Linked DNA regions of Drosophila melanogaster. The protein of the gene in region 1 interacts with the protein of each later gene in a pairwise test. Each region holds a gene or a part of one and is shown on either strand. Other genes may lie near its edges. The genes, in order: CG13186 and CG6688.

The links.
Region 2: the proteins of CG13186 (region 1) and CG6688 interact in a two-hybrid assay, tested with the Drosophila melanogaster proteins (one large-scale study listed by BioGRID).

What each region holds. Positions count from the first base shown.
Region 1 is NT_033778.4:12,077,242-12,086,809, forward strand, and holds CG13186 (uncharacterized protein), read left to right. Parts: upstream 1-4,034; 5' UTR 4,035-4,076; coding exon 4,077-4,508; 3' UTR 4,509-4,816; downstream 4,817-9,568. Other genes in the region: CG8888 (uncharacterized protein), read right to left, coding at 1-57, 2,054-2,077.
Region 2 is NT_033777.3:23,006,340-23,018,199, reverse strand, and holds CG6688 (uncharacterized protein), read right to left. Parts: upstream 5,789-11,860; 5' UTR 5,687-5,788; coding exon 5,528-5,686; intron 5,459-5,527; coding exon 5,390-5,458; intron 4,285-5,389; coding exon 4,162-4,284; intron 4,050-4,161; coding exon 3,126-4,049; 3' UTR 2,725-3,125; downstream 1-2,724. Other genes in the region: CG34375 (uncharacterized protein), read left to right, coding at 9,884-10,198, 11,516-11,605.

The DNA.
Region 1 (9,568 bases):
CTGCGGCAGTGCCGATATGGATCCTCGTCGCAAGGAGGCGCGTCGCGAGGCACGGCGCTAAAGGATAAAAGATATATAGATACATAGATAGATATTAATCACGGTGGTATATATGCCAATTTAATTATTCATTTCATTGCAGCGCATTTAGCATTTCAGTTTTCAGCTCTATAAATAGCCAGACAAAATAGCTGCGCCTTGTTTGTTTGGGAAATATTTAAACAATTGTGGCAGCTCTCGTTTGTTTGTGTTTTGATCAATAAATAAGGTGAATATGCAAATTATTGCACGCACTCATTGTTTTTATTTCCATAGCGGAAAATCAAAGATATCCGATTGGAAATATTCCCAGAATTGCATTGAGTGCTTTCTTCTGCTTGACAGGTGTCCTGAGTTTACCGGAATTGTCGGGGAAGCTGTGAAGTTTTATTTGGATTAGTCGGGAATTCGCTGGAAAACTCTGAGCGGCAATCTGTTGCCCGCCAATCGAGAAAAGCTGATGAAAATCTTTTGCCATTTGCAATCCATACAATTTATTGACTCAGGACTTCCGATTTGGTGCTCGTTGAAATCGATAATACTTCTGCTCAATGTTCGAATTCAATGGCTGATGAAATGGTCGAGCACATATTTGCCCAACAATATATCATCGGGCATTTCATTAAAGCTAACCAATTGCAGCCACAGGATCCGGAAACGACCACAAGCACTTACACCAACATATACATATGCTTGCATTTATCAGACGCTAACCCACACATTGACATTGACGTATAGCAATTACACATGACGTGCACAATACTCTCGAAAAAGTGTGGGAAAGCCACTGGAAAATCGGTCGGTTGTGTGTGTGGGAAAAATGGCTGGCAAGAGGGCACCCTTGGCAGCCCCTTTTGGCCATTGGCCATAAATCAACGACAGTGCGAAATAATCAAATGGTGGCATCTGCATAAATACAGAAGCCAATTGATTTATTCGGCCTGAAAATAAAGCAATTCCATTTCGGTTGCTTCGACTATTTTTCCTTCGCCGGATTTGTAAAATCGCCGGATCTATTTATACCTCCTAGTGCTGTCTGGAATATTAAAAGGAAATCGACCATGTCATTTCGGATTGCTTTCGTCATCCGGCGACCTTGCCACCAATTTTGGGACTTAGTTTGCCACAGATACGTGAGTATTATATGTGACTAATGCCGCCATTCTGTAAGTGGCCTACATATGGGCGACAATTTCGATCCGATCTATGTATGTACATATACATATATGCACTTGCTGCCGGTTCAGATATATCTATATTTATGTGTATTTATGTACGATTTATGTACTTAATGGGGTCGCTCAGCTGCCAAGAAATCGGTATATGTCTCCAAGCTTATTTTTATTATTAATAAAGATATGGATATTTATTTTTAGATGATGCGGCCGAATCAAATGGAATGGAAAGTTCTGGCATTGCAAAAATACTCGCACTGTATTTTCATGATGAAAATGTATTTGATGTGTATTTCGTTTGGAAAAAATCCAATCCCTTGTGGAATGTTCATAATCGTTTGCCTCAATGTCAAGACTTTTATTGTGCAAATCTGATTATAATGTAGTCATTATAACATTACTACATCCATTTAAGTTGCACTTAAAATCCCAGGCAGGCGGTAGAATTTTGACAAGTCTCTGGCGGAACACTTAAATTTTACATCTAGCATTTTGCATCTAGCATTTTGCATCTTTCAATTTCTAGTGGCTCGCACGTACGTTGACCCACTTGGATCGTGGCCATTAAGTGAATTTTTGTAATTAATTTGGCGGCCCGTTCTGAACACCGCATGACTTCCTGCCTTTCTGCTCCTTCGTTGCCGCCAAAGGATATCCTTTTCTTCTGCGGCCAAAATGGGCGTGGTTATGCCAGACTGGAGTTTGTGTATTGGCATTTCTGGGTTAAGCTAACTGGGCTAAGTGTGCCATAAGGTATACACAAACGTGGCGACAATAAATTTGGCCTGCGTAAACATGGCCACAAATGGCTTTTTTGCCGCAGGCTAGATTTCACTTACCATATTGTTATCGAAGACCTGCATGACGGATGCTGATGATGGTGTAGATGGTCGATGGTAATGTTCGGATTTTCACGCACTTTCCCAATGAAGTGGGCAATTCTCGTAGTCTTAGACTATAATATATCCGGTGCTAGAGTTTTAGATTTTTTTTTGTATTGTATATATTTTCAAGATCGATTTTCCGCAGCGGTACGGTTTGGGGGCCCGTGGCCTGGGCGCTCTGAGACACGGCGTGGCACTAAGCGGTACGATCGAGTGGCGCTGCCTGCAGCTGCCGAAAATTTTCGCTCGCCGATCGACGATCTCTGCCGCTGCCGCTGGCGACGTCGACGTCGACGTTCAAGTTCTGTTGTATTTCAAAATGATGCAAGCAGCAAATTGTCGTTTTGATTTTTTAAAAATATATCTGAAGTATGTGCAGACATGCGTATGTGGGATACATATACACACGCTGGCACGCCTATTCAGAATAATAAATATATTTAAATATTTGTTGCTCTTGGCGCTGCCCCACTGAAGCCGCAGCATCGATGATTATTTTTCCACAGCGGAAAAACAGCAGAAAAAAAACTCCGAGTGTGCAGATACATTTGTTGAAATATTCTTTTTGGCTCATTTGAATATTGCTTCAAAATGACCCTAGTTTTGAATACACAGTTTATGCGCATAATTAGTATGTGTGCAAACGCCAAAAGTTGCATTCTTAACCCCACAACGAATAGATTTCTGTTGTATGTTTCACTGTGACGTCATTGTCACTGTTGTTTACAATTGCGTTGTTGTTAATTTGCAAATTGCATTTTCATATACATTTTTGGTTTTTTATTTTTTTAAATTCCCAGCTCTTTGCTGCATTTTGTATGCTTTCATTTCGGTTTTATTTGTGGGCCGATGTTGGGAAAATTGGAAAATTGCATAAATAAACCATGACCCTCTGGGTCAGAGGGGGTTGGGGGGGATCAGGAAAATGCGGGCCACGTGTGGGCAGCTGAAGGTAAAAAATCATTCAGCTTCAGCCACGAGAAATGGAGAAATAAAATGCAATAAATGACCATTTGCAATCTCGCAATCCCGCAACCAATAAAATCAAGCAAATAAAAGAGTGTTGCAATCATGTTTACGCTCCAAAATAAGAATTTAAATGATTCCAATTAAAAATGCACAAATTATATAAGAAGACTATGTTTGCTCTTAAAATCAGTTCAATTAGATGTCCTTCAAACACTATTAAGAGACTTGAAAATAATAGGGTTTGCGATTTCATTCTTCATTTTTTTATGAAAACAATCCATTGATTTGGTATTGGTATCTTCTTCCAGCTTATGATAAATATCAGCGTATTTTGTGATAAACCTACATTCAATGGAATCCGTAAAGAATATCTGATAGTCGTCGAAATGCTCTCATCGTATAATTTACTTGCTTTAAATACTCGATTTTTATGTTTTCTCCCATTGTTTATGCATGTTTTTGTGTCCAACAATATATTATTGTTATGCATAGAATTTGTTGAGTAGCTTTTCTGCATGAATATAGACAGTGCCATAAATTGACGTCTATATTGGAGCTTTGCATATATACAAAACAAAAATCTATATATAATGAACAAAATTGTGGCTACCCAGCCAATGGAAGCATTTTCCCCTGCATCTATACAATATCGTTTTTTGTAATTTTTTCAAAGGCGGCTGCGTTGTCAGTCAATGTAGCCAAATTAACAAACGAACAGCGATTCTTTTCGTATGCGTGCCACCAAAAGTTGTTGACTCTTTCGGATTGTCATGCATTTTAAAAATAGGCGCAGCAAAAATATTCTGGACATCGTTGCGCACTTTGAAATGTACGAAAGAAGATTTATGGTTCACAGTACTTTTGTACCAGAGAATCATAAGTGAACCAAAAAGCAATCAATCAAAGCAATTATGAATTCTAGGATTGTCAACATTCGAAATAAAAATGGGTTTTGGTTATTAACAAAATCACTTCGAAATTGTGAAAGTAATCTAAAAAAAAAACCACAATGCCACCAAAGAAGCCGGCAAAAAAGAAAAAGGACGTGGACTGGTCCTCCGATGAGCATTTCTCCAAGGATCGTTCCATGATCTACATCGAGCACACGTACGAGTGTCCCATTTTCCAGACCAAGGCCGACGAGTGCGGAACATTCTTCACGCAACGGATACCGGAGCGCAAGTTCCAGCTGGTGAAGAATCGAAACGGACGCCAGGTTCCGCGGGAAGGAGCCTTCGAGATAGGGTTCTCGCAAAATGCACGCACCTCGGAGCATCTGCTGTGGTCCGGCTTGGAGAAGGGACCGCCGCGTCGGGATAAGTTCCCACTGGACTACGAGGCACTGGTGCCCGATGTGAACAGGATACTCAAGAAATTCTATCCCGACAAGGCGGTGGGCGTGGACGCTGACGACGGGGATGAGGAGAAAGAGGACATGTAAACATTTGCCGCACTTTGTTGTCTGAATTATTATAAAGTCTTTACCATAACAATGGCTAATACATGGCGTGAAAAGTAAACAATCAGCCAGAGACCTGTTGGAGCAACTTTAAGACGTCATCCACCCACGCGGACAAAATGCTCGGCGATTAGTGCGATTCTTCTTTGGCTTTTGTGTGTGTAATATTGCTGGTATTGTTGACTGACGTACTGACATCACACTTTGACAGCTCCTTTCAAAAGTTAAATGCTTAAATCGACCAGAATAATTAACCCAATACAATGCTGCCACATTAGCAGCCACACGATATATATGTGTATATATATATTATTATTACTGCACGGGGACATTAGCGACGCGTCCTATTGTCTGGCTGAGAAATCAGGGCAACTAAATCGGGACATGTGGTGTGTAGTTGGTAGTGGGTGCTACTATCTCGTTCACTTGGTGTTGACACAACAAATACCCCGAAATACATTTTCAATGTACACAATAGAGGACGAGTAATCCAAACAATTTAAATTGAAAGCTGAATTTGAAACAATAGACAAAGGGCACTCACATGCTAGCCGGCTTTTAAATGCTCTTAAAACTATAAAGTGAAAACTATACGAGCAAATCAATTTCCTATAAGCTTTTAGCTTGCATTTGCATACAATAAATGTGCAATCTATATGTTGCCTTCAAATCAGCATGACGCCCTAGTTGCTTTACATAAATAAAGTGCAAGAAATGGTATTTTCATTTGCTGTTCGCCTTTGGATTTTAATCCAAACCCTAGTCCTAGAGTAACATTTCCAAAAAGAGCAGCAGAAAACACATCCACATCCAAATCCATTGCGGATGTATTTGAAAATTGCAATGTGCCAGCAACACAATGGGCAGCTAGCTAGCTAGGAAAGTGGCTGGAAATAAATAAATTGGTAAACCGAAAAACCATCGACCGAGGGCAACAGAAAATTTGCCACTGCAAACTGGCTAGGGGGAAGAAGCCAACAAGTCGTGAAAGTCCAAACCAAATTACATTGTGGGCCAACAACAGCGATGACAATAACAAATACCAGGAATCCAGAGGGGTGCTTCCATGCTTGGCCCTTGGGACTAATACTAATACTCTGCCAACATTAAAAGTACAAAGGCAGCGTGAAAAGTTGCAGTGGAAAAACAAGAGGATTTGGTTGCCTTTCGATGATTACGTGTGTGCAAATGCGAAACTATGGCTCTGTGGATTCTCACCAGAGTTTTCCCAGCTCCACAGTTCGGAGCTCCAGAGCTCCAGAGCTTCACAGCTCCGGAGTCCGGATGCAAATGCAAATTAGTCTGGGTTACAGATGGTTTTTTGATTGACTGGTTATGGTGGCTGACTTTCAGCCACGATTCTAACGCAGTGCAAAGACTAATTTGAATATCACGCATACGTCATGTTCGCCCAGAAACTACAGAGCGTTTTTTAGCGCTTGACCGGCAGACAAAGGCGACTTTCAAAAATATTTAGCAACATTCGTGGCGCAGGTCATTAATATTAATATAATGGCTGTAAAAAATGGCGGGCAGAGGCAGCAGCCAGAAATAACCAAAAAGTAAAAAAGATAAAAATGAAAACGAAAATGTTGCCGCGACATTCCGATGATTTCAACAGATTTTATGCGACCGGCACAAAGAAATGTCAGCGAGGCGTTTTTCGTTCTTCGTATTTCGTGTCACGACTTATTCGGGGAGAAATGGGTTAATGTCCAGTCCAGAGAACGGCCATGGACCATGCAGCCTCCTTCGCTCGAGGTGGAAGTGGATGCATGTGTCAGCTGTCACCGGGATATCGAAGGGGAAACCACACGCCAAGGACAAGCCAGGACGATTGCCAAAAGGCACAGTGCGAAGGGAGCTTTAATGCAAACAGACCGCAACATTTTGCATTAGAGTGTGCGATATTGTGCGATTCCCGGCCAAAAAGTGGGTGTTGGCCCGTTGGCCCGTTGGCCAAAAGCAGTTTGGCAATGCAAGCCACTGACGGCCTGATGTAAAAATAATCCACGCAGGCGAATGCCAGCGAAATGGCACAAACAAACCGAAATGTGTTGTGTGTTATTTTTGAAATGCAATCAGCTGGATGAGGCATACAGCTCCTTCGATTTCCGGACACGTTTCAGTTATCCCATCTATTGATCTTTATATCCAATATCACATAACCCATGTGACCTATCCCATGTCCCATATCCCATATCGCATATCGCATATCCCTTACCCTTTGCTGCAACAAATTGCAGCTGGATCTAAGGGCCATTTATTTAGCAGCGATGCGAAGGCGAATGGGGCAAATGGCAAATGCCAGATGCTGCCATTTTAGGCTTTTGCATTTGTTTTATCGCGCCTAGTCGAAGGTCGTGTGTGTGTGTGTGATGGTAGATGGTGTGTTTGAGTGTGTGTGTGTGTGTTAACCGGGTAAAATCCCCTTTTAATGCGCCAGCTGGATTGGCCTTTGGCTGATTGCACGCCTAACTGGCCTGCAGATTGCATTTGTCACACCTTAATTAAGCAGCTGCGGATGGGAGGAAAGGTCAGGCAACATCATGTTTTTTTCTCTTTGCCCCCTTTTTGCCCTCCTGACCTTTAACCTATTTCGCCGGCAAACAGCATTTTATTTCCATGCGTGGCGGCCATAAAAGGTTCGGTTCTTCCCCACTTTCTGGCCCCGAAGATGATGATAATTCCTTGAGGCCGAATGGAGACGAGCAACCATCTAATTAAGCGTAAATTGGCAGCCACAAAATAGGGTTCCGCGCTCCCAACTCCCGGATGCATTCGTATCCCGGCCATCCGGCCCACCAACCAAATTCGAACGCCCACGACCTTGGGGCCGCCCACAATGTTGCTGTTGTGTTATTAACATGAAATTAGTTTTCGGCTAACGCTAATTAAAATTTACGACACCCGCTTTACCTGCAAAATATTTGCGCAAAACTCCCAAAAGTTTACGCTGGCTTAAACTGGCATTAGAAAGCTTAATCAGAGGATCAAAAAGCTAGGACACACCACAATAATATTATTTTACACTGTTTAAACGCGTCCTGCGAATTTCGACCTTTAAGTTTGTAGTAAATTAAATTGAATTGGCATAATAAGAATTTCATAGCCAAAAGCACATTCAATGTGACTACTTAATTGTTTATTAAATCCAAATGGGCTAATTAAGACCACGAAAGCCCATTAAAAAAAAGTACAAATAAATTTCGCTGGGGCAATCAAGAGGCTGGCCATGAAAACTTCCCATTCTATAAATAATGATAGCCAAGGAATCCGTAATTGCTGTAAGATGAAATTATTATGCGAAATGCACAAAGCGAATACACCTGATGTTGGATATAAAATTGTTTTTCCCAATGCCACAATTGGTCATCCAATTCCGAATGAGTGCAAATAATACATGGAACTTTTTATACTGACTGAGGCTTCGTTTTTATTTAATTTTTACATATACTTCTGTTGCTGTCATATGTATATATATAATCTCATAAATTAGTTTGTTGTGTATATATAGAGATTTTGTTGGTAATACATTTGTTCCTTATGCCGCAAACGCATATAATTAAATTTCAATAATAATAATGGTATCGTTTTTTTTTTGTTTCGTTCGGTTTCTATTTGTTTTAGGGCGTTTTTTGCTTGAACTCGAATCCAGTTTTTGGTTCACCAGCTGGAGATACATATATATATATATATCTGCTGCTATGTACCTCTATATGTATGTGTATGTGTGTATTTATAGAATCGTAGGCAAACTGAAGTAGGTATCATTTATAACCATAAACACACAGATGTACATGTACACATCTATGTATGTATATAGCTGGTAGTTCTTGCCTGGAGTTTCGCAGTTGTCATTCTCCCGCATCTATATATGTATGTATATTCCACATCCGACTCGCTTTCATTTACATTATACATTTATAACCATAATAATTTACAAGTTAAATGGCTTAGAAATTATTAGTAGGACTTCCTGTGTGGGCTACCATACTCATACTCGTACGTACATAATACATAAAACACTTTCTAATTAAAGTTAAAAACGTCCTTCTTTGTGTCGCCTCATCCTACATCGTCCTACATCGTCCTACATCATTCTACATCCTTGTCCTGTTCGGTACGTTTCGGTTCGTTTCTGCTTCTGTGATGTCTTGTTCGTCCTGTTAGCTTCGGTTTTTGTTCAGTTTTGGTCTATTTACATAGTGAGAATCTCTAAATTACTTAGACTTCGCTATAGCAATCCTCTTTGTTCTGTATTTACATTGCATATCGATTGAAAAAAATGTTTCGCAGACTTTTCTTGACTTTTGGTTTAAGTTAACATAAGAACGTTACAGGAAAAACCCCTCTCCAGGCGGTTAGTTATGTTTTATTCAATGTTTATCAACTAATTTAGGTAAAATACGTTTACATTTAAATTTAGTTTCAACTGGGCTGCTGTTCGCTGTGCATTTAAAAATAGTGCAAAAATACATTTTACAAAAATTTGGTGCATACTTTGAGGCGGTGCTATATAATCACAACATTTACAATTTAAGTGCATTTGCTTGTCGGTGTGTGTGTGTGAGTGTGTGAGCGTGCGTGCATGTGTGTGTGCATGTGGGTGCATGGAATGGGGGAGTGGGGGCGTGGTCGGGGGCGGGGATCGGGAGGCGAGTGTACAGATAGTTTAGACCTAATGTAAACGTTAGAGTCGAACTCTTCGGCCTGCTTGAGTGTTTTGTGTGGAAATTCCGCTCAAAAGTGTCAATTGAGGACGGATTGCTTTTAAGCCTTGATTGTGTGCATGTATTAGGGAATGTATGTCCTTGTGGCGGAGTGGGCGTGGCCCTCGGTACTCGCAACTCGCCGAATTCTCCTCCACATAGATAACATCTCGATTTGCATTAAGGTACTTGTGACTACTTATGTTTATAGCTCGAAAATACTCTTTTGATTCCATTTAAAACTGGCCATTCCTGATGTCTGGGATTGGGAACGGTGCTCCCTGTGTGCGTCCAAAGCTAAACCATGGGGGAACTGATGTCTGAAATTCG
Region 2 (11,860 bases), on another chromosome or scaffold:
TAATTTTAATTTCCAAGGCTACCCGCCGTGGGCGATGTATCTTTTTTTTTTTTTTTTTTGTTCGTTATTATTATTTGCCACGCAAATTGTTTCAATTGCTGCCTTTCGGGGTCTGGGTTTTTCGATTTAAGAGAGCCGAACCGGATGTTTCAATTAATTCAATCGCAGTGTGAAATGTGTCATTCACATGTCGCCCATTGAGTCGCTTTGTTGCCTATTTACAGGCGCCGTGAATGCGAATGTGAATGCAATTCATATTCATATTCATTTTAATTTAATCAGGCTCTTGCGACGTCGCTCAACCGTAATTAAGTTTCTTGTGCCGGGGCCAGAAGCTTCGCCAGCGTGTGAAAAATAAAAAATATGCCACATTAATACGGGCGAAAAATTGAATAAATCAAATAGATACGCGAACCATACTTTACAGTGGCCCCGAAACGGCGACTAATGCAATAAAAGATGGCCGCAGCACGTTTTTTAATATTTAATTAAATAAATAATTCCCATTTGCCGTTTGCCAGTTGCCGTTTCAAATATTCGAACGCACGAATTTAAATATGGAAATACTTTGCACGCAGCCGCTTGCATTTCCCATTTACCATTTACCATTTTGCATTTCGTTGCATTTCCGGTGGGCGACTCGTCAAACTTTTCTGCCCGAGATGCACGCACACACACACACACGCATGCGAGGCTCTTTTGGCCAAAAAGTTTTCCCTCGGAGTAATTAGAAGACTTAGTCCCCTGCCAGGCGGTCTTTGGCTGACTGCTTAAAATGCTCTTTTGGCGTTAAATTTATGACAACCGCACATGTTGTTTGCCAGCTAGAAACAATAACAATAACAGCCCGCCCAGAGGCGTGCAACAGCAAAGGCCAAAGGGGTAGGGGGTGGCAAATAGGGTCTAAAGGGAACGGGCGGGGCAGATCGCTGAGGGGAACGGGGCAGAATGCTCGTTAGAAAGTTTCTAAGGTTGCGGCCGCACACGAAACAGCTGCGCCGCCAAAAGGGAAGAAGGATTCTCCAAATTGTTGCACGCTTTCCTTTGCTTTGGGGCGGTCACATTGTTGCTAAGCTATATACACACTTTCTACCGTCGGTCTCTGTTGCCGGCTGATAAGCTACACTGGGCGAAAATGAGCACATCTTGTGCAGGGTGATAGTTTTGAGCCTTACCTAAATATCGTAACATCTACAAGTCCTGCGCTCTATAAATCCTGATAATTAAGTTAATTGAAGTTTTCTTTTTTTCAAGTGCACTTTGAATACCCATACTCATACGCCGTGTGGTGCACTGACGTGACCTCCACTTGTGCGGCAAGTGCTCGAGTGGGCGTGGCAGCGAAATTTGCGCTTCAAAGTGAATTTATTGTTTTTACCATTACCACTTAGCCGGGCCCGAAACTTGCCCAAAGAGCCGTTTATTTTGATGCAGAACCAGAACTTAAACAGCCAAGGATGCAAATTGAAAGGCGATGGAGAAGCGATGCTTTAAGAGCTGAAACCCTGTGTTTACCCAAGGTAAATTGCACTCGATAATGAGTGCTTCACATTAATTAAATAACCAATAGATCGGTCTGGGTTTCCCATTGCAAATTATGCCGGGAGGGTGGGAAAATGGGGTGGGGAAATGGGTAGTGGGGGACAAATTGGAAGGACAAGCGCACTTGTCGCGGTTTTCGCAGCGATTTCTTTTACCCGCGACAGCGAAATTAATTGCATTGCTGCGCTGCGAGATTCACGTGGAGGAGCACTTGTTACGGTTGCCATTAGCGGTGCCATCATCATCGACCCTCGAAATCGCTGTAATTTCCAATAGATAATGAAATGCAATTAGAAAATGTGAGGGGTCTGAGCCTGTGGGCCACAAGACTGGCGGCAGAATGCAACAATAACAGCAATTTAAACAGGTTTTCCACGGGCGGACGCGCATCAGAGTGCATAATGGCGCATAGAAGTTTGTAATTAAAGTTTGCCGACTCTGCCAGGTGGCGACACCACGGGATACGGCCGTTTATTCCGGTCATTCCTACTAATCCGCACCCACAATACTGCACCGCCATCAGAAGTGGCAGCATCAGCAGGAGCAGCAGCAAATCAATTTCTGCATTGCACTAGCTGGACTGGACGCGGATCTGGACTACCGTCTATGGTCTCCGGCTTGGACTTGGTCGGCGCCCTGGCTTTTGTTCGGCACATCAACAAAGCAGAAAATAAAATTCAATTAACGCGCTTAAATTAAACTGCCACTTCCTGTTTTGATGACATTTTCATGGCAGCCTCGCTCCGGCGAAGAAGCAGCGGGAGGCCATTCTGCAGCGATAGGAAGAATGCGGTTTGGAGTAACTGAAGCCTGTTGCTGGCGTTGCTCGCTCCTCCATTGATGCGGTTCGTCCGGCATCAATATTAAATGGTAAACGGCCGGCATAATGGCTGTCCAACTGCGGCTGTCATTATGGGGCCATCAGGAACCACCAGGACCAAGAAACCAGGGACTGGACAGGTTCCATGCCTGCTCCCGATGACAAATAAAGCTCATTACGCGCTTGTCCGGCATCCTTCACTTTGCCACTGATTGACCTGCATCTGCGCGTGGCGTCGCCGTCAGCAGTCATAAGTTGCACTGCACTGCGAGAAATGTTTGTACTTTGTGCCCTTGAGTATGCAGTGGGAAAAGGATTTTAGAATGAACAAGTACTCAAATAATGTTGCATATTCTATTGATCATTTGCACAAAGTCCAATTGACTTAAAATATTTTTATTCCTCTTGCGACGCTCCCTGAATGCAGTCCATCCGGACTTCATTATCGAGCTGACCAACTCGGACGCCAAATGACACAAAGTCATTGGAGCGTTCAGGAGTGATTCAATTAGAACTCAACTTGGCCAAGTTGAACTCTTCGCTGCAGTTAGCTGGACCAACTTCTTTGCATCTCCAGCGTGGGCCTTTGTCCCGGCCTGACACCCATACAATTCCTTTGGCCGGGTTCGTTTCTTTGCGCGATAAGCAACTTTGGCCAAGCAACTGGCATTTAATTTAATTAGAAAGGAAAACAGCAAGAGGGGCGGGGGGCGAATTGGGGACGCGCCTGATAAGAGGATGCTGTTGATTGAGATGCCCGAGCTCAAAGCAGACGGAAAGCGGATTTGTAGCAGCAGTTCTGGTGGAGGTCCTTTGCAGGATCCTGTGGATCCTGCAGCTTGCAGGGACAGCGGTACAACAGCGAGGCCGGCTTAGTTTGGACAACCTGCTGGGGCAAATCTTGGCTTGGAGTGACAGGAGGTATGCGAACGGGTTGCAATCCGGAAGATTCATTGATGCCCGGGCTAACGGAGGCTGGTAGCGGAGGGCCATGCAAGGATGTGGCAGAGATGTGGCTGCTGTTCGTTCCGGATTCCTCGTCAACGCCCTCGGCATTCGGCTTAACTCCTTCCTGCTGTAAATCATTCGTCGAGAGTGAAGGATGCGCCGCATTCGCGTCAAGCGTGGCATGCATTGTTGTCCTTTCGGGGGGCGTGGCTGTCACTGGCGATGTTCTGGCCGGGATTTCACTGGAGTCGCCAGCGACGTCCGTGGTATTAGTCCGCAGCAGAGTAGCGGCATTCGAGGGACTGAGGTTATCCGTCGAGTAGGCGCAGCCCTCAAGCAACTTGGTTAGGAACTTGTTCGTTGGCAGCACTGGCCTGCGCTTTCGCCAGGTGTCCTGTCCGGTTATCCTGTCCTGTCGGCCCACGACTGGCCGTGTTATCCCGGCAAAGAGCTTCTGCCGCAGCTTGTTCTCCGAGCGGCACATCTCGAAGGCGTTGGCAATGGTCAGGAAAATTTGCTCCGCCAACAGCGCTCGGCGGGGAGTGTAGAAGTCCCGGCAGACAGGACATCGCTCCGAGCGGATGCGACAGTCCACGCAGAGCAGGTGTCCGTTTTGGCACTGCATCGCCGGCGGTGAGATGGTCACCCCGCAGACAGGACACTCGACGAGGCGCAGGATGCTCTCCAGGACGAGGGACAGGCGGCGCAAACTGGTGGGCATGGGGGCGCAGCAGATGCTCTATGGATTTTTGAAAAAAATATTGTGTTAGCGCGATTTTAATGGGGAACGGATAACTGAGTGTGTTTGATGGTTTAAAGAAGGATTTCAGGACTGCAATGAAAATACTCACATTAGTATCACAGTCCTTATCACATTCACTGTTCCAACAGAGAATTGTGACGCAGTCCTTTTGACTCTTCACCATTTTGGCGATTTCAGACACTCTCAAGCCTAAAACATCGTTGCCATTTACCTGGAAATAAAATATTATAGAATTTTATAGAAAATGTCTGGAAATGTTGTTTATTTATTTTAGGAAATAAGTGCCATACAGAAAGCAAGTACCAAGTATCTAAATATTTGGATTTCCACGAGCTACCAAAGAAAACAAATGAATACCACAAAATATGGCCAACACAATTACAAATTCGAAAGCACTGCTTGCGGCTGTATCGCACGCACTGCTTGCGGATGTTAACCTTAGCTAGCACTGTTAACTCAATTGGCTGTTATCTGTTATCTGATAACTGATATTTGCTTTGAATATTTACTTCGTGCTAATTAATCTTTGTCATCAACTAGTTGTTTTACTACGTTCGAGTTGTGTCATTAGTTTTAGGGCGGGCTGTGCATTCACCAGCTGTTTCTAGTTCCCCACTCCACATCCAATAAAGTTTCTAAATAAAGTCGATGCCGAGCAATTAAGTTTTACTGCATTGCTATTTTAAGTAAACAATATCCACGAAGAACAACAAATGCGGCTACAATAGCGGCTGCAAAGTCCAGACTTGGATATATGTACGGTCCAACTTCCATAGCTCAAGCTATTCGTAATTTAAAAGACCATAGCGATTTGAATTTGTTTCTAGAAGTGCAAATCATCATATTGGAATGCTTTCCTGAATAGTACTTTTTATCTTAACTTACGATTCACACAAATTTGTAGAACTTATTGACTTGAAAACTCGCAAGTATACATAATTAGCTTTACAACAAAAACTACATTATTTTTCTAGCTGTTAGCTAACAAAAGGAACTTTTTTCTGATTATAAATATATTATAATTTTAATGGGTTCCTCAAACTCTGTTTTCTTCTATCCTAAGTGGAATGCACATAGTTGGGAACCTGAGTAGCAGTCTCAATAAGCTCTTAATAGGTTTACAAAGTAAATCCCCGCGTCGATCTATTGCATTCTTAATTTTGTAACTGGAGTTCAGGCGCAGATTGAGTTACCAATGCAGTTTAGTTACCAATGCAGTTGGTCTGCGCTGTGCATAATCCGCCAGTCCATTGCTGGCTGAGAGCTGAAAGAACTGACAACGGTGGCACCAACCTGTGGCACTAACTTCTACTCACCTCCAGAACGCAATCGCCGGGTTTCAGGCCGCAGAGAGCGGCAGGTGTGCCGGCTGCCACTTCGCAAACCTGTCGGTGTAATGGGTATATGGTAATTAGGAGGGGACGGGATCTCCAAACGATGGCCACTTTTATTACCCAGGGATAGGGATCCCATTTGCTGCGGGTCAGCTGAAATCCGTAGTTCTCCATCGCAGGTGCGGCTCTGGGAATTCTCAGTAGTCGCACGGAGGAGCCATCGCCATGCTGCCCATCTTCATTGGATGTGGAATGAAATCCTCCCGCTGATTTCCTCATTTTCGGGCTAGAAAACTCGCACAGGTGCTCGGATCGTTGTGGGCCAAAATAAAAAGCGGCTAGCGAGAGACGTGTTCAACGTGCGCTCTCAGTTGGCAAACTGTTTTTCGTCTGTCTGTTGATTTTTTTTCGAGCCAGCTGGCTGGCTGGTGTATGTGGCTGGCTGGCTGGCTGGCTGGCTGAAAAGTTGCCGAGCGGCGAGCAGTGAACATGGAGCGCTTTGGGCCGACGCAATCGGCTACGACAAACATTTTGGCCAAGCTCCCCAGCATCACACATTTAACCCCTTCCACAACTTAATGACTTTGGGCCATCTGACGCGGTGTTGTAAGTGCTCGGCGCCAAAATGTGGCTGCGGTTCAAGATCCGAGATTCGGAATTCGAGATCGGAGATCTGAGATCTGAGTTCCGAGATCCAAAGCTGACACCCAGCTGAGATCATGGAAATGAGACTTGTGGAGCTAAGTAAATATTTGAACTTTCGGGCTGGCAGCGGTTTTTGGGTGCGCTATAAAGTTGCATGTCTACGTATTGTGACACCTTCAAATATACCGAATAAATAAACAAATTCTTCAGCGATTAAGTCATTTGATAACCTGGTAAATTAGTTGGTTCGAATGTGCAGGCTGCTACAATTGTGCGGAAGTGAAATCGAGAACATGGCCAAATACAATAGTTTTCATAGAAACCTTCGGCTATTTCTCTTCGCTTTTCATGGAAACCTTCTGCTATTTCTCTTAAATTGAAAACAATAAAGCTGCGCTTATCACTTATACCATGTTTTGTTACTAGAGATTAAAACTATTAAGGTAAATATAGCAAAACAGCCCAAACAAATATAAATAGCCAAAATAAACTGAACAAGACCTGCAAATTAAGTGTTAAATTGTATATTTATACAGTTTGGTTACGGTTTTGGCACAAATCGTAATCAGATAAAATCGCTATTAGCAGTAATGCACACGAAACTTAATCAGTTTAATTCCCATTTGTTGACTTTAAAAGTTTTCCGACTTTGTAATTAAATTTGAAAATAAACAGCACTATTTTTCGGCTTAATTGCGTGTTGGCAGTGTCAAATGGCCAGTGCATTTGCGATTGAGTGGCCAGCAAGTAAACCAAAATATTATTATTCGAAATGCCAAAAGAAATTAAAACAACAACGACGAGTGTGTTGGCACCGCACTAGGGTGTCAAACGGCGATAAACATAAACAATGGGGCCCTAAATAAATAATTGGGTCTAAAACCGGCTCGTCGATTAACCCTAACAATGATAACTGATGGAAATTGGCAGCTGACAAATGGATTTGGTTTGGCATGGCCAAACCATCGACATCCATTTGACTTTCGCTTTTTTGTTGTTTTGTTATCGCCGGTTTAACTGCCATTGAGGCGGTAATTTGAGTTTGGCGCTGCTCTGGTCGTCTAAAACATTGGCCAAATAGCATTGAAATTGGTAATTTCATTTAAATTTGCGCCCAGCAAAACTGACCCTGGGCGGCATTGTGGTGCGTGGTGTGTGTGTGTGTAATTTGTTTTTGGCTTTTCAATTTGCCAGTTCAATTAGATTTGGCCAAATTTATGTGGCACGCAGAAGCGTTCGGCAGCCAAAAGCCGTCAGCAGTGTCAAAATTAGAGAATACTTACCCAGGCAATAACATCGAAATTCATGTTTCTCGGAAAGCCATCCACCTGAAAGGTAATTGACTTTTATTAATCGGCCAGCAATTAGGCCGGGCCCAAAGGCAAATGGCCAAATTCAAGTGCAATTCCGCCTCTTCACACTATTGGCTCTCGACTTGTTTGTGGCCAGTAGATGCGGTTTCCAAAAAACAAAATAAAACGATGAAAAGCTCGCTGAAGCCAAGTGCAAAGCTCTGCCCACAGGTGGCGCTCGCTTTAAGCCAAGTTAGTAGGTCTGCTGGTCAGCTGTGAAGAAGTCGAGCCTCAGTTTCTTCGCAACTCGCATTCGGTTAAGTGAGCATGCGCCGCAAGTTCCGCTGGAAAACGCGAAGTGCGAAGCGCCGGCGCCGAAATAAAGTGATTACGATACGATCACAAAGATATCGAAAATCATCTAGCGTGGCCGAGAGTTGTGAAAATTGATTAACCAGCTGGCTAACAGAAACGGTGGAAAAAAAAACGGTGTGTAATTGCTAACAAAGCATGGAAGGGCTAATGGCCCAAATGACCTTACGCTCACCGCACCAACTTCCAAGCCAAGTTAGTAAGCGTTGGCTTAGGTCAAGGTCCGGCTAAGAGCCCAGATGCCCAACACTAAAAGCGAGAATAAAAACGCGGAAGTGTAACGCACAATTATAAACGCATTTGCTGGATACTCGCATAATTAAAAGCGGCAAACAAGTTTGCTTCCATTTCCTTCTACCTCCAAAGCAAACAAACGGGTCTAAATTGAATTAGAAACAGCGCATAAATCATATATGTACGTACTCGTACGCAATGCTTGCGCAAACACTGTGCGAAAAAAGGGGGGGGGTTCAAAAAGAAGAGACTACAATCACGTTCAAATCGAAATTTACACGGCAGTCGCACAGTTCGCTAATTGTAGAGCTGCTGCAGCGCCAATGGCGCATGCGCAACGTTTTTTTTTTTAGCCCGCTTTGGGGTTTCTGGGTCTCTGTCTCTGGGGCTTTTTTATTTATGTGTTTATTTCGTTTTTTTTTCGCTTGCGGTTTCTTTCGTGTAATTGTGACGCAATTTTCGTGCGAGTTTGTTTTAGTCTCGCCTCGCCAGTTTTGCCACTGACTCAATATACACTGAAAACGAAAGCGGCCACCACCAAGACGTGTGACTCAAGTCGAGCTGCAACTTGTGTGCTATGTGCACTGCACCGCCTTCGGCCGATTCAGTTGCAATTCACACGCGTTTGAGCCAAGTTCGCTTCCTACTAAGCTAAAGATTCATAGCGTTAACTTTACGGTATAAACATGCCTGTGGGCAATTAAATTTGGACCTTAATTGGAGCGTTACCAGTGGCAGTCATCCTGCATTTTGGGGTTTGCGTAATTGTTTGCCAGCCAAGCGATGCGCTTCATTGGTTTAGTGCTTTTGAAGATTCTTTTTTATCTTTTTTTTGTGGGTGCAGCTTTAACTAATTCGTGCGGTTTGATAATTAAATCGAAATCTTGATTGCCCTTACAAGGGACAGCAGCACATCGTTGGCTGATGGCCAGCTTATTGTTCAATGATTACCTTAACTATTGCTGTGCCCACTTCAATAAGCCGACGTCATAGCGATTTCATGGCCAATGTCAGTAGAAGTGAAGTGAAGTGATTTGAACAAGTTTGCCATACTCGCACTCGAACTCATAGTCGTACTCAAACTCACATCTGTATCCGCGTGCGTAGACAGCCAAGGAGGAAGCTATAAATTCTCAGTCTACTCAATGTTCTCGAGTGCAAGAAACATAATCAATTTCGCAGTGAGAATCTTTTAAACTGACAGCCAAGCGAATCTGATGACTTCGATATCGATTTGTGACTAAGCTAAAGAATTCCAGTTGGTAGAACAGCTAATACCATACATATACAGTATATATGTACATATATATATATGAGTTCCGGCTTGGCTTTGTTGCTTAATTGATTTTCCTTGGTGCTAAAAAGTTTGAAAGAAACCCTTTCTATTTTGGTTTTTGTTTTTTATTTGACTGGGCTCCGCAAAACTTTTGATTTATGTGCGCAAATTTTACGCCTGGCGAACGTGGCGTATGCGTAATTACGACCACTTGGCACCGAAACTTTCTGGCTAATTAATTGGGTTTCGTCTCGAAGCTGCCGAAAGGTGAAGGAATCGCCCGTCGAAAGGTGCAAATGAGTCCAAGTGTTGGAACTAGAAATCAGAGGACTCCGGTCTCCGGCCTCCGGTTGCCCCAATCACACACACTCGGGGGCATAATAAATGCGAGTGTGTACGTGATGGGCATGTCAACTAGTGTTGGGGCATCTTGGCCCTCTGACAAACGAAGTAAAACAGTTTGGCAACATTTTTCAAAGCTCTCCTCGCCTAGGTGTTGTTTATATATGTATGTGTTGTTAGCCCAGGTAATTAGATGAGCGCGGCGAGGGAGTGTGAGTGTGTGCGTCTCCGGTGTTGAAAATTGGCCAAATTTATGAGCGACCTTGTGGCTTGAGTGTCTGTTTTGATTTGAACCCACTTTCTGTTACAGCCAATATGCTTCAGTTGTGCACCATCTACGCCTGCGCGAACGGCACATTGGGACTGAATTTGAGCCGTGCCCCCTGGGATCCGTATCCTTGGGTTAGCGGGGTGCAGGCCAAGTCGAGTGCGGAAAGGGGCGGAGTTCGTTTGGGCGACACCCTGCTGGAGCTGAATGGAGCCGATGTCCTGGGGCTAAAAATCAGTGAGTTGGCCAATCGGTTGCAGGATCACTGGCAGAGCGGCGCCGAGGTCGTGACCCTGATGATGTGGCGCCAGCAGGCGAACATCGACCCCAATGAGGATCCTGCCGAGGCATCACATGCTGTGGTAAGTAGTCGCCACTTGTGCTCCATATTGTTGGCCTAATTGGGCCAAGATGAGCGGAGGAGTGTGTTGCTTATATGGGCCATTGTCTTGCATCAGTGCGCCGCTGAGCGTTACGTAATTCTGATTGGCTTAATGACTGCTACTGCTACTGCTAATTAGTAATTAGTATCTGCAGCTTGGTCCGCTTGCTTTGTGGGCCTACTGCAGTTTGGCGGGCGAAATAATAGAGCCCCATTCCAAGGTTACTGTGCACAGAGAAAAAACTGCAGACTAGCCTGCAACTAATAGTTCTGGCATAGCCACACGTAATTGTAATTGACTGGTCATCAAATGATACTAACTTAAGCTTAATTTCGTAAAGGGAAGCTTAGTTGCGTTAAGATGAGCCTTTACATAAGCTAAATCTAATTAATAAGTTTGTTTTTCTGTATTTCAAAGTGATTCGGTTCTCGAGGGTCATCTTGTGCAGCATTCATTGTTTTAAAATCAATTCAAATATTGCATTGTATGCACATCGCTGGCATTCACATAATGATTGTCAATAACAATATCAAGCCTTAAAGCCACACCGCAGGACCTTCGATTTATCAAAAGTTTCTCAATTAAAAAGTCAACGAATGACCTAGTCTTTTATTTGAAGCTCGAATGTATAGGTAAACTGGAAGCCCGAGGTAATCCTTGAGGTGTTCAGCCGTGCGGATGTCCTGGCGGCATCGGTGTAGTTGTAAATTGTTTATCTGCCAACCGAGAAGCTGTTTACTTTATTAAATGCAATTGAATCGAAATAACGCAATTTCGTTCTTGACACATTATGTGTACTTTATTACAATTCAATTGACCTAAATGTCCTCGCCGGTGATAGTCCAAATTTAAGGCCAGCCAGGACATTCGCACACACACCTAACATAGAATACACACACACACACATACGTGCAGCTACACAGGTGGTTGGCATGGAAAGTCCATTTCAATCAATGCCGAAGGCATTGAATCACAAAATGTGTGCCAGATTGACCCGTTAAACAGATTAAACTTGCAACCGCACTAGGCCATAGGACATTATGCGTCCTTCGTATGCAGGCAGGCCTCACGATTTTGATAATCGAATGCAAAACTGAATGGAAATCGGCTTAAATCAAAAGCCTTTCATTCGCACCGGACCGTGAATTATTAACGACCCCATGTGGGCTTCCACCCCAAAAATGTATATATAATTAAGTGCAGGCGTCGGATCAATTTGATTGAATTTCCCGAAGTGTCGCTTAACCTTGAAGTGGCATCCTTAATTTGACCAGTGCTTTATCTTTATATTTGCAGCAGCACGGCATTAATCAACAATCGCTGCAAAAGTTTGCAACATGCCTGCAACATATTTCCCAATTACTGGAGTGTCCTGTGTGCCTTGAGGTAAGTGCAATATGGTCGCTGCGGGATGCGGGATTGGATGGATGGGCTGTTTCAAAAGGGGGCGGATCGAATAGACGTTTGTATGCCGGGCCATAAGGACATTCCGCTGCCTGCATGTGCATTGCATATCGATGAGCCAGGCTGGCTTTAGTTTTAGTTCTGGTTCTAGTTCTAGTTCGTCATTATCCAACTCAGCTGGGCTCGAACTCTCGGCCCAACTCGCTCGAAACTTAGTTGGCCAGTTGCCCTCTTGTT